Callithrix jacchus: one gene and its partner. Each later gene encodes a partner of the first gene's protein in a complex. Links are inferred from orthologs where the notes say so. Each region holds a gene or a part of one and is shown on either strand. Other genes may lie near its edges.

Region 1 (7,111 bases):
TAAACAATAACTGACAGCTCCCCCTACCCAGCCCTCTACCATTTCAAGTGTCACCAATACACAGACTCTTGTTGGAATTGACCCTTATCCTTGGCTACACAGATATGTTTTAGATGCCAGAGTACCATGCAACCACATCTGATCATATGTGCTATGGTCCAGTTGGCCAATATCCTCAGCTGGCTTGGGAATCCAAAGGAGTTAAATGGCTTGCCTAAGGGCACAATGAGTGATGCCATAGGAATGAACATAAAATTCCCAGTTAGGTTCTCTTTCCACTATATTACTGTATATATCTAGAGCAGGGTTGGCAAATATGTAACTCTGCTGTAAACTCTCACCCTTAGCAGTCATCTCTAATCACACAGGTCTGTCCTGTATAGCATCTGTGTAAGGACTCAGAATTCTCAAAACAGTACTTCAGGAAATGACTATTGATCCATTGGCATTGGCTCATGATAGCAATTTAATTCAACTAAATGCCAAATGGGATGGTAAGGCAACCCAGAGATTAACAAGAGCAGGAATTCAGTTCTACATCCCTCACCCCAATGCCACTTTCCTCTCCCTCCCCCAAGCTGGAGGGAGATAGAGAGAAGGAAATTTTACAGACCTCAGGAGTCTAGGCTGCCTGGTGGGAGCTGGAGCCACAGTGGTATCTTGGACCATGGAGTGAGGGCTACGGGAGAAGCTGGAACCATGAGAGAGATGCAGCCGCTGCCCAAGATGCCGACAGCAGAGAGGGGAAAGAAATATTCTGGCTTCTCCTTTCCTCCTTACTCTCAAGTTCCCAGTGGTACTTGATTGGCCAAACCTAATCAGAAGCCAGTTGGCAAAGGGGCCTGAGGACAGGCTGGCAAATGACAAGCACAGCAGCCCACATATGTAGTGTTATGTTTTGTTAGTTTTACTTAATCCATATCATATATTGTTATTTCTGATTGTAAAAGGTTCACATGGTTTTAATACAAATTTTGAAAAAAGTCACAAAATACAAACAATAAAGTAAAATATCAGTCACCAAATAGGTGATCACTGTCATCACCTGACATATTGTTCCTGCAAAATTTTTACAAATAAATTTAGAGTCATGCTATATACATAATTTTATATAATTAAAGAATTATATAAAATTTCTTAAAAAAGAAAGAATACTGATTATGTATATTTAAGAAATTCTTGGGGGAAGGGGTGGGAAAAAAAGAATTTCTAAAAAAGAAAGAATGCCGATTATGTATATAGCATGACTCTAAATTTATTTAATTTTTTAACTTAATAGTATAAGTATTTTCCCATCTGATTAAATATTCTTTCAAACTATGACTTACAACAGCTACATCCTATTGAGTGTGGTAGTGTGGAGTACCATAATTCCATAATTTATTTTACCATTCCTCAAATTAATGAGCATTAGATATGACCACATTAACCATATGGAACATGTTAGTCAAAATTATCACAAGTCTTTGTATTTTATTTTAAATGTATACATCATAAGAAACATAAATCTCATGAAGTCTGACAACAGGAAATCTGAAGATAAATGAGACCTAAAAAGGAATATAATTTATGTAGTTAGAGATTCTACAATTTCTATTTAGTTGTTTTTAATTTTGATGTTGTGGCTTTCAGTAAAGAAGACAACAATAAATATAATGCATTATTTATATTGCCCTAGTAATTTATGTCCAGATACATTTATCCATTGCTTCAAATTCTCTTTGTACTATACAGAATATGATCTAGAAACACTTTATTTAATTCTTTTTAATTGCCAATTAATGGCCTGCACTGTCCCCACAATAGAATTACCATAATTCATTATCAGTAAACGATAGGTACCCCTCCAGAGAAAAGCAAGAGCCGTGGATCTAATTACTGCAATTGAGACCTAAGCAATTGCTTATGGTTTATACCCCCAACATGCAAATAACATCTATTTATAGACTAAGATTTATGATTTTTTTTTTTAGATTGTAGCTCTTTCTGACTGCTAATATCTGTCCCTCTTCCCTATCCCTTCTCCATTTCCCACTCTCAATGACCCTGAGAGGACAGGGAATGAGAGTACAAGGACAGCCAGCTGGCTGCTCTTTTGTTTGACATGATCTTTCCTTCGGGTTTCTTCTCCCTCTTCGTCATTCTGGTGTGGGCCACCAAGCTCCTGAGGGCAAGATACCAACCTGTTTTTTTAGTGGCAACAACCTGTTGTTGAATGGTATGGTTGCTGAATAAGGACTCCATGGCAGTAACCCCTCCACAGAGTGAATGCCACCAAGGCCTGGAGAAGAGATGGGCTCACCCCGTCTGATGTTTCACATGAGAATCTGACAGCTGAGAAATGAAGTTCATGGGCTATAGAAGTTGTAGCCAATGAATAATGAAGACACACAATAACTTCCAAACAGCAGAGCACTAGTCCTGAAATAGGAGAAAACTAGAAACTGTGGCATAATTTTAGGACTGTTTCTTATATGCTCTTTAAATTCATATTTGTCCACATCTGCCAAGAAACCTGTCTTAACACTTCCCACAAAAGAGGAGAGGGTCTCCTTCTTTGCGCTCTTGTACTTGTCTCTAGTTTTCACCTATCAAATTGTAATGTGATTGTTTATTTATGCATGTCTACACGATAAGCTCCTTGATGATAGGGTTTATACATAATTTAGCTTTACAGCTTCAGAGCACAATATTATGCCTGCCATATAATTGATGATGCTCAATAAAGTGTTCATTGAATTAATGAACAGCATCTCCCAAAGATGATACCTGTTTATTATCAAATGTGCCAGCTCCTTAAAATAAGAACCAATTAAATTTTAAATTTCTGCTCTTAGAAATGTATTTCACCTAGTGATGAGAATGCCACATCTAGATAGCATTGAATTCACTTCTCCCAACCCCTGCTCCCCACAGGAGACATGAGATCATTCTCAGTGCCATCTATCAGCTCCCTCTTTTCAGATGACTGTCCTCCTTGTCTGGATCTCAGGGTCTTTATTAACAGTATTTGCTAATCGTTAGATTTTACTGGAATATTTCTAAGTCATTGTTGAAATCTTAACAATGGCCTCAGCTGCAAAAGGAAGAAATTGCATTAGACAACATAAATCATTTATTTTCAGTCTTCAGCTGTTTTAAATACTAGGAGTGAGTAAAGACTAAATCTTTTGCCTGAGTATATTTAAAGTTGGTATAACTTGTTGCTGCAGAAAAAAATTACCCCAAACGTCTCAAAAAAAATTACCCCAAACAAAGTGGCCGGAAACAATAAACATTTACTATCTCACATGTTTCCAATGGTCAGAGATACAGGAGCAGCTTAGCTAGTTGATTCTCACTCATGATCTTCCAGGGTTACAGTCATCGGTAGGCTTGGCTGCAGCTGGAGGATCTGCCTCCAAGGTAGCTCACTCCCATACCTGACAAGCTGGTGCTGACTGGTTGTTGACTGGAGCTTTCAGTTCCACTCCACGTGGACCTCTCCATACTGTTACCTGAGTATTCTCACAAGATAGCAGCAGGCTTCCGCCAGGGAGAGCAATCCAACAGAGAGCAAAGAGAAACCCCCACAATAACTTTGTGACCTAATTTCAAAGTCACACACTGTCACTTCTGCCATATTCTCATTGTTACAAGCAAATTAATAAGATCAGCAGTCAAAGAGAGGGAATTAGGCTCCAACTATTGAAAGGAATGTCAAAGAATTTGTGAACATTTTTTTTTTCAAGATGGAGTTTTGCTCTCGTTGACCAGGCTGGAGTGCAATGGTGTGATCCTGGCTCACTGCAACCTCTGCCTCTTGAGTTTAAGCGATTCTCTTGCCTTGGTCTCCCTAGTAGCTGGGATTACAGGTGCCTGCCACCATACCCAGCTAATTTTTTGTATTTTTAGTAGAGATGAGGTTTCACTATGTTAGCCAGGCTGGTCTCCAATGCCCGACCTCAGGTGATCAACCCACCTCAGCCTCCCAAAGTGCTGGGATTACAGGCGCGAGCCACTGAACCTGACTTGTGGACATATTTTTAAACCATCACAGTAAATTACCAAATAAATAGTTCAAAATGCTTAAATATACACAAGTCTAGGCATTTGCTCTATGTGTTTGTGTAGGTTTTCCTTTAACATTTAAAATGCGTTATGGCAATTAAAAATTTGTATCAGGTAGCATATATTGAAGAGTCTGCATACATTCAGTGTCAATCCTCAGTTTCCTCCATCTCTTTCAGATCCAGGAAAAAAACAGTCCCTGACATCTATATTTGCAACCTGGCTGTGGCTGATTTGGTTCACATCGTTGGAATGCCCTTTCTTATTCACCAGTGGGTCCGAGGGGGAGAGTGGGTGTTTGGGGGCCCTCTCTGCACCATCATCACATCCCTAGATACTTGCAATCAATTTGCCTGTAGTGCCATCATGACTGTAATGAGTGTGGACAGGTAAGTTAAGGACTTTGAAATATCTTAATAAAATTCAGAGGTGCCTGTGCTTCCCCAAGCTCATTCCAATTTAAGCAACATCAGTTATGGTTTATAACAGCACAGCTCTTCTTCGTTTGTTTGCTTCATTGCAGGACTGATTACTTACAAATATTTCGTTTAATTTTCACAGAGGTTCTATTTTTAATGCAAAGTAAAATACAACAATCTCTTTTTTTCTAATCATTCTTTTTGACTCCGCTTTATTTGCAATTCACTGTAAGAAGAAAATCACAAAACCATGAAATATTAGAAACCGGAATGAATTTCCCCCATCATTTTTACAATAAGAAAACTGAGGCCCAGAGAGGTGAGGAGATTTGCTAGAAGGACACAGAGAATTAGTGGCAGAGCCAAGAATTAAAGTAGGTTTCCTTAGTCCCTGTCCAGGGCTATTTCTGATACGTTTACTGTCTCATATACTGGTTATTACCTCATAGCTCTAAGGATTCGGTGGAGTAGAGGTTCCTATATGACCATGAAGCAATTTCCCAGTGCCAGGAAGACCATCTTTTACAAACATTATTGTGATTGGTTAATACAAATGCTGTCATTTTATATCATTAGAAATGTATTCCACTATATCCTGGAATGTGCCATAGCCCTTTTCACCATCCATGTAAGCTAATGTTGTTTGAGGAGATAATGATGGTGGTTAGTACTTATGGAGTCAGTGAGTGGGAGAGCTCAGTTCAGACCCAAGCCATCTGCCTGTAGAAATGGCAGGTAGTTGTAACTGCCTCACTGTCTGGCCTGTCTAGAAAACTTGCTATCTAGGATGAGACCTGTATTATCCAGATGCAGAATGTCCCCACCAGGTCCTAGCAGCTCACCCCAAACAGAAACAGGGCCTAAAGACAACCATAGTATTTCCAACAGTGATAATCTGTCCTCCAGAGCAACCCACTTAAAATCTCCATCTGCCTCCTTCCCAACCCAACCTTAACCCAACATATTTAATCCTTGCTCTGATCTACTGTCTTTTTCCTTGGTTTCAAATATATTACATAAATCACTGTGTGTGTGTGTGTGTGTGTGTGTGTGTGTGTGTGATTTATTGTCTAGTTACCCTGCACCTCAAATGTAAATTCCACCAGGGCAGGGTCTTTGTCCACCAATATATCCTAAATGTGTGTGCGTAACAGTGCCTGGCACTCAGGTGCTCAAAAAATATTGATGAATGAATGAATGAATGTCTTGAAGAATATGTTAAATTTCCCTGGGTTCATCCAGAAATATTCTTTAACCCTGCCTCTTTCACTCTTCCAAATGGGACTTTCGGTGGGGAAGTGATGAGCCATTCTTTAGATGAACAAAAAAAAATTGGCAAGGTTTATATAAATCATTCACTCTTAAAAAAATAAATAATCATGGTAAATTTTAAAAAATCATTTTTTCTGCAAGAGAATTTTCAAAATATAGAATGTGCTTTTCAACTTATAATTAACACATTTTTAAATCAATACATGGCATAGGTCTAGTTAGCTCAGCTGACGCCAGCCAATGTGACTGTGTTGTGAGAAAAGCCCCAGAAGCTTGTCAGGGTTTCAATACCAGGAAGAAGGCCTTGAACAGACCAGGTTCACTGTAGAAAAGCAACTTAAAGTACAGGCCATACCAATAGTAATCCCATCTTGGGGATAATATGAGCTTTTTTATACCCTGTGCCTTGGATGCAAGAGAATATTGGCTTTTTTGGGGGAAAAAAATATATATACTCCTGTAAATTTCTTACTATAAATGAAGTAAATTGGCATTTTCTGTCTTGGAGCAGACCAACTGCATGTATTTCCTAATATTGACAGGTTTTTCTCTGTGTACGTGTGCACACATGCATGCATGTGTATCTTACACCTAGCCTTTTGTTTTATTTTGTTTTGTTTTAATCTAATGTACATAGTATGCTAAAATTTCGTTTCACATTTAAGACATTCTGCCCTTTCTTTCCCCTGGCCTTCACTCTGTAAGATCAGGTGGTAAGAAACAAATGAAGAGGATATAAAATGGAACTATTTCCTTCTTCATATTTCTTGTAATTCTAACTGTACTAAATTCATCAAAGTTTAACAAAATCTGCAGTTTTGTAAAAGAGAAATGAGGCTTGCTTTGTAAGAGCATAACTAAATGTCAGTGCCATCAATATGCCTTAGTGGTTACATATTTAAATCATTTTAATTGCCAGTTTAATGGATTATACGTTTTAAGTGTTTCCAATAACTCATTTTCTTTCCCTAATTAGTAATAACTGCAAGTGTATAGAATGTTTAGTAGTGAACTCCTATCTCTATAGCCATAAGAAAACAATATATAAACATTCAAAATGTTTGCCTTCAAATGAAAGCTACCTAGACTTTCATTAGTGGCTACTTTTATAAATAAATTCTCTAAAACATCAAGAGTCAGTAAGTAGGAGCCAAAATTTGCAATTTATTCATTAATTTATTCAAAAAATATTTATTGAGCATGAACCATATGCTAGAGATTGTTGGACACATAGGATACAGTGGCCTTAAACTAATAATCAAGGCTCCTGCCCTCATGGGGCTTTCATTCTACTGGTATAGACAGACATTAAGTGAGGAGTCCCACAAGTAAATGTATATTTCCACATAGTGATAACACACTAGGGGGAA
Region 2 (6,561 bases), on another chromosome or scaffold:
TTATATCAATTGTCTTTATTTAAAATCTGAAAGAACCTATACATTTATAAACTATTAAAAAGAAAAAAATTAAAAGAGTTTAGAAAGTTTTTTCTATTATCAAATCACTATGCAAAAGCCAAATACACACGCACATACCAGCAATAATGCTAGAAAGATCATTTCTTAAAAATACAATTTATAACAACCAAAAATAAAAAATTTAATTAAATTATAAAGAATTGTAATTCTACCAATAAAGGTATGCAAGACCTTTATGAAGAAAATAAAATGTCGTTAAAAGATTAAACAAGAAAAAAGATTAAATAAGATCTAAGCAAACACAGAAAAATGCTATGCTCATAGATAATAAATTACCTTCAGGAGGTCAATTCTTCTCCAAAATTAATCTATAGAACCAACGCAATTATAGGCTGAGCATTCCAAATCTGAAAACCCCAAATCCAAAAATGCTCCAAAATGTGAACCTTTTTGAGCACTGACAAGATGCTAAAAAAGAAAAAATTCACTGAAGCATTTCAGATTTCAGATTTTGGGATACTCAACAAATATAATACAAATGTTTCAAATTCTGAAAAACATCACAAATCCAAAAATAGGACCAAATACTTCTGGTCCTAATCATTGCAGATAAGGGATACCTAACCTGAACCTTAATATCCTGTCAAGTATTCTTAAAGAACTTGAAAAGCTGATTTTAAGATTTATATGGAAAAGAAATGACTAAGAATAGCTAAGGAACTGTTGTAAAAGAAAAACATATGGGTGAATAGAAGGCTGGGAAATTTGACCTACTAGATATTAAAAATTATTTAAAGTTATACTAACATTATAGATTTGGCTGTGGAATAGAATGTTCTGAAAGGAGCCCACACATATACAGAAATCTGATATACTGCAGAGATGGCACTGCAGATTAGTGCAGATAGGATGAATTCTTCAAGAAATAGATAAGAACACTGGACAAAGTAAAATTACATCTCTATCTTATACACGAAATTACAGATGAATTACAACCCTAAACATGAAAGTCAAAATATTTAAACTTACAGAAGAAAATATATGAAAATATGTTAATAATCTAAGGATTGAGAAGAATTTCTAAAAAACAATGCATTAAAAGTAGTTGCCTAGATGGTATTGCCTAGGTAATACCATTCAAGACATAGGCATGGGCAAAGAATTCATGCCTAAAACACCAAAAGCAATGGAAACAAAAGCCAAAACAGGCAAATGGAATTAAACTAAAGAGCTTCTGCACAGTAAAAGAAACTATCATCAGAGTGAACAGACAACCTACAGAATGGGAGAAAATTTTTGCAGTCTATCCATCTGGGCTAATAATATCCAGAATCTACAAAGAACTTACACAAATTTGTAAGTAAAAAACAACCTCATCAAAAAGTCGGCAAAGCATATAAACAGACACTTCTCAAAAGAAGATATTTATTGCCAGGCGTGGTGGCTCATGCCTGTAATCCAAGCACTTTGGAGGCCAAGGCAGGCAGATCACCTGAGGTTGGGAGTTCAAGACCAGCCTGACCAACATGGTGAAACCCCGTCTTAAAAAAAAAAAAAGAAGATATTTATTTACGCAGTCAACAAACATATGAAGAAAAGCTCATCATCACTGGTCATTAGAAAATGCAAATCAAAACCACAATGAGATGCCATCTCATGCCAGTTAGATGGTGATCATTAAAACGTCAGAAGACAACAGATGCTGGACAGGATGTGGAAAAATAGGAATGCTTTTTTTTACAAAGTATAAATTAGTTCAACCATTGTGGAAGACCAGTGTGGCGATTCCTCAAGGATCTAGAACTAGAAATACCATTTGACCCAGCAATCCGACTACTGGGTATACACCCAAAAGATTATAAATCATTCTACTATAAAGACACATGCACACATATGTTTACTACAGCACTGTTTACAATAGCAAAGACTTGGAATCAACCCAAATGCCCATCAATGATAGACTGAATAAAGAAAATGTGGCATATATACACCATGGAATACTATGCAGCCATAAAAAGGATGAGTTCATGTTTTCTGCAGGGACATGGATGAAGGTGGAAACCATCATTCTCAGCAAACTAACACAGGAATAGAAAACCAAATACATGTTCTCGCTCATAAGTGGGAGTTGAACAATGAGAACACATGGACACAGGGAGGAGAACATCACACACTGGGGCCTGTTAGGGGGTAGGGGGGCGGGGTAGGGGAGGGAAAGCATTAGGAGAAATACCTAATATAAATGACAGGTTGATGGGTCCAGCAAACCACCATGGCAAGTGTATACCTATGTAACAAACCTGTACATTCTGCACATTACTTCAGAAATTAAAATATTTTAAAAAATGAATGCAAGCATCTTTCTCTCACATACACAAAAAAAGTCACTGCCATAAAGAAAAAAGAAAAAAAATGTGAACATTAAAATTAATCAGTTTGGTTCACCAAAAAACACCACAGAGGGGTTGAAAATACAGGCCACAAACAGACAGAAAATACAATATAATGAAACTAATAATAAATATCCAGAATACATAAAGAACACAAATAAATTAGAAAAAAAAACCCAATAGAAAACAGACAAAGCAACAAACAAAACAAAACAAAAACTGTAAACATATGGGGAGACACTTAACCTCTTTGGTAATTAGGAAAATATAAATAAAAGGATAATGAAATACCTTAGAGTTAGCTCGGACGTGGAACAATGGGAACTCTCACACCCTGCTTATCGGGGGAACAAATGACTTATAACTATTTTGGAAAATATTTTGGCATTAGTAAAGCTGAACATATACATACTCCATGACCCAGCAATTTCATACTGAGAAATATACTCTAGAAAAATTCTTATATATATGTACCAGAAGACATATAAAAGAATGTATTATCTTACTCATTGGGGTCAAAATTAGAAATTAACTCTGAAATGAAAAAATCATACAATATACACTCATCCAAAATTAATGTTTGTGGGGCACATACATATTCTTTTCATGGACTTCATTAATTGCTAAATTCATTAATAAGTATTTGTACATATTATCCTTTTGTAAATGCAGAGATAAAATACACCTGACAATTTTTGATGTCGCATAAATAGCTTTTTGTTCCCACTGACAGGCATATGTACTTTAATCACCAAACACTATATCAAGTATTTATAAAAGAAAATCCTTTTTGAGGATTATTTTGGTTTAATCAGGATTAAAAGGAAATAAAACTTTATCCTTATCCTTGAGTGAAGTAACTTGAGTTTTAATATCTTTACTTAATCAGAAAATACAGAGGGAAACAATAATATAGAGAGAGCCTGATGTCCTGTGGTCTTCCTGAATAACAACCCATCTTTAAGAGACTATAATCTACTCAACAGAAAGCATTCTACCAAGGATTTTAATCAGATTCTAAGAAAATTCACACTCAAAGTAAACAATGTGCCACTAAAACCAAAACAATATAGGTATTAGCAACTGTATAAAAGATTAGCCTCAATCTGATGAGTCATTTCTAAGATAACAAAAAGTATAATTCTTTGAAGTGCTTTCTATTCAAGCTGGAAAATATATAAAGATATGGAATCATTTGCCAAGCAGGCTGACTGAGAAATTTTTCATTTTCTTTCTCATTTGACTGTATGCAGACATCAAACTAAGAATGGCAAAAATGAATCTCTCTTCCTACATATTAATACTAACTTTTTCTTTGTTTTCTCAAGGTATTTTACTTTCAGCATCCAAGTCCATAAGAAATTTAGATGATGACATGGTATTTAATACATTCAGGTTGGGGAAAGCCTTTCAGAAGGAAGACACTGCAGAAAAATCAGTTATTGCTCCTTCCCTGGAACAATATAAAAATGATGAAAGCAGTTTCATGAACGAAGAGGAAAACAAAAATTTAAAGGTAAGTGGCACTGTGACTTGTCATTTATTTCAATGAAAATTTAAATGATTCTTACAAATCCTCTGAAAATTGATACTTTTATAAAAAAACTGATACATTTATAAACAGAAATATATGTAAACAGTCACAATATGTATTAGGATAACTGCCAATATTTCTTATATGCCAGGTAGTTCTTCCATCCTGGAGAACCTCTTATCTAAAAGGGTATTTTTTCTCCTATAAATTTGCATATAAGGTTTTTTTAAAGAGTCAAAAACAGTACAGAGCATCTTTGAATTGATCAACAAGAATATTCTACATTTGTATTATAGTTCCACTCCAAATATAATAGCTAAAAAACAAATCAACCTTCTCTTTACAGAACACAGGCTCCAAACATAATTTCTTAAATCATGGTCTGCCACTGAATCTGGCTATAAAACCTTATCTTGCACTAAAAGGATCTGTAGCTTTTCCAGCTGAGAATGGAGTTCAGAATACTGAATCAACACAAGAAAAGAGAGAAATTGGGGATGAAGAAAACTCAGCTAAATTTCCTATAGGAAGGAGAGATTTTGACAGTGAGTAGTCTTTTCAAAATTCAATTCTTACATCCTTCCACCATTAAACAGAACTCTGAGTTTAAGCGAATTTGGATGCAATCATAACAAAATCAAGTAAGACCGTGGCTCGATTACACCTGCCAAAAATGTGGGATTAAAAAGCATTTAATTAGTTATTAACAGTTTGGTTTACTCAGAATTAGTTGTACTAGATCCATTCTTTTTTTTCTTAATAAATTTTGTGTGATAATTATAATCCTTTTAACAATTTAAACTTTCTTCTTTCTTCAGTGCTCAGATGTATGCTGGGAAGAGTCTACCGACCTTGTTGGCAAATCTGATACCTGTTGGTCCACATCATCTTTTCAGAAGAAAATAGAAGCATTTAATTGCCAATGGGAAGAGAAGCCTGTAATGCTACTATAACTTGTGTCTTATGTTAAATGTCTGATTTAAAAGAAAGTAGTGTTAAGATATATCAGTAACCGAAATGATATGCTTTTTCTGTGCATTAAACTTTGTGAAAATTCTGCATAATTATGACTTATTAGTATTTTTGAACAATGCTTAACATACTAACCTTACATACACTCTAGACCAATATAATAAAGCATCATAATTTACACCTTGATCTCTTAAAAATTAAGAATGTCTTTGGTGAATGGCTTTATATATGCATAAACCTAAAGCATATAATACACAAACTTATAGTCTAAAAAACTGAGTTAACTTTGTCTGGCCAGGAATCAACTTGTTCTTGGCAGTACATTTATTGCTTTTTGCTACTTTAGCTAGTTTGCCATACAATTTATTCTGTGAATCATTTGATTTCTTAGGCATTTTAACACTTTTATGTTGAGGTGGTTCATTTCCATTATCACAGAGAATATTTTCACCATCCAAAGCCACCTGTTTCCTTTTTGAGCTTTTATTTCCTGTCTGACTACTTGATTTTCCTGACACTTTTTCATTTTTACTTCTGTCCAGATGAACATTTCCAAAACTCATTCCAATTGTTGATCTTCCAATGGATGAATTTATGCCCTCTGTTATGCAAGATAAAAAGAGGAAAGGAATTATATAATATTTAGTATTAATATTCATGAGAACTTTATAATAAACTTTAAAAATGGCTAAAGAATATTCAAATTTTTATTTTTAAAGTAAAACAGTACTATAAATAATATAATTAACAAATATAGCTACATTACTATCCCATTACTTTTAAGTTTACCACAGCACCTCTGAGTTAACTTTGGCCAGTAATCAAATCATCAATGCTACTAAAATATTTGTTTGAATGCATGACATTTCATCCTTAAACATATGCTACATATTACTTCTTAAATACATTTAGTTAAATCAAATTGTGTCCTATTCCTATCCATAAATCTGTATTTAGATTTAACTTTTTGAATAAACTGAGGTCTTTAAAAATATAAATCTTTCAGCCTTCAAAAATATATATATATATATATATATATATATATATATATATATAAACCTTTAAATTACATAGTACTTTGCAAAAATAATCCAGTTTTACTTAAAACTAATTAGTAGACTAGAATTAAATTGTTTTTTAATTGCACAAAAAAGATCAATTACCAGAAAGGTTATTTTCCATCTGAAGAACACACAAAGGCTTTGATGCTACATTAATATTCTTCCAATTATCCTTGCTAATCATGTTGTCATCTTTATAAGTACAAGCAAATTGGGATCTAATTAAGGTTTGCTTCATCTGGTAACAGAAAGAAAAAAGAAAATATGCAATTTATTCATTATTTTATTTCTTCATCTAGATACATACACACTCTGTAGTAATCGAGGTATAAAAATTTCCCTTAGAAATTTTTATTTATTACTCATTGTAATTACCCAATCCTTTATTAAGCTATAACCTTTCATATTTCATAGTTTGCGAACTCATTCATTGCTATGGCTAGCATTTTTGTTCTTCACCACAAATACTAGCTTTATGTATATTTTTTATTTTTTTGTAACAGTTATAAAACAATTTCAGACTCTTTATACGGCTTTGTTACACATTCCTATGTCAGCACTGCTCTGGAGCATTTTATTGTAA

The links.
Region 2: the proteins of MCHR2 (region 1) and PMCH are in contact, whole or in part, in a cryo-EM structure (PDB 8WST), measured with the Homo sapiens proteins. The link is inferred for Callithrix jacchus from reciprocal best matches to the Homo sapiens genes MCHR2 and PMCH. Residues at the interface, in NP_001035269.1 of Homo sapiens: His82, Gln92, Trp93, Gly96, Gly97, Thr110, Asp113, Gln117, Ile175, Phe177, Val181, Ser183, Cys184, Ala185, Phe186, Leu188, Thr189, Ser190, Pro191, Val194, Tyr197, Thr198, Tyr267, Gln271, Asn274, Met277, Glu278, Gln279, Pro280, Phe284; in NP_002665.2 of Homo sapiens: Leu151, Arg152, Cys153, Met154, Leu155, Gly156, Arg157, Val158, Tyr159, Arg160, Pro161, Cys162, Trp163.

The regions. Positions count from the first base shown.
Region 1 is NC_133505.1:106,044,006-106,051,116, reverse strand, and holds part of MCHR2 (melanin-concentrating hormone receptor 2), read left to right. Parts: intron 1-4,229; coding exon 4,230-4,439; intron 4,440-7,111. UniProt on the Homo sapiens protein: Receptor for melanin-concentrating hormone, coupled to G proteins that activate phosphoinositide hydrolysis.
Region 2 is NC_133510.1:105,231,523-105,238,083, reverse strand, and holds PMCH (pro-MCH), read left to right. Parts: upstream 1-3,615; 5' UTR 3,616-3,678; coding exon 3,679-3,927; intron 3,928-3,932; exon of another isoform or gene 3,933-4,291; coding exon 4,292-4,490; exon of another isoform or gene 4,491-4,763; coding exon 4,764-4,813; 3' UTR 4,814-4,893; downstream 4,894-6,561. Other genes in the region: PARPBP (PCNA-interacting partner), read right to left, coding at 5,178-5,518, 6,081-6,216. UniProt on the Homo sapiens protein: MCH may act as a neurotransmitter or neuromodulator in a broad array of neuronal functions directed toward the regulation of goal-directed behavior, such as food intake, and general arousal. May also have a role in spermatocyte differentiation.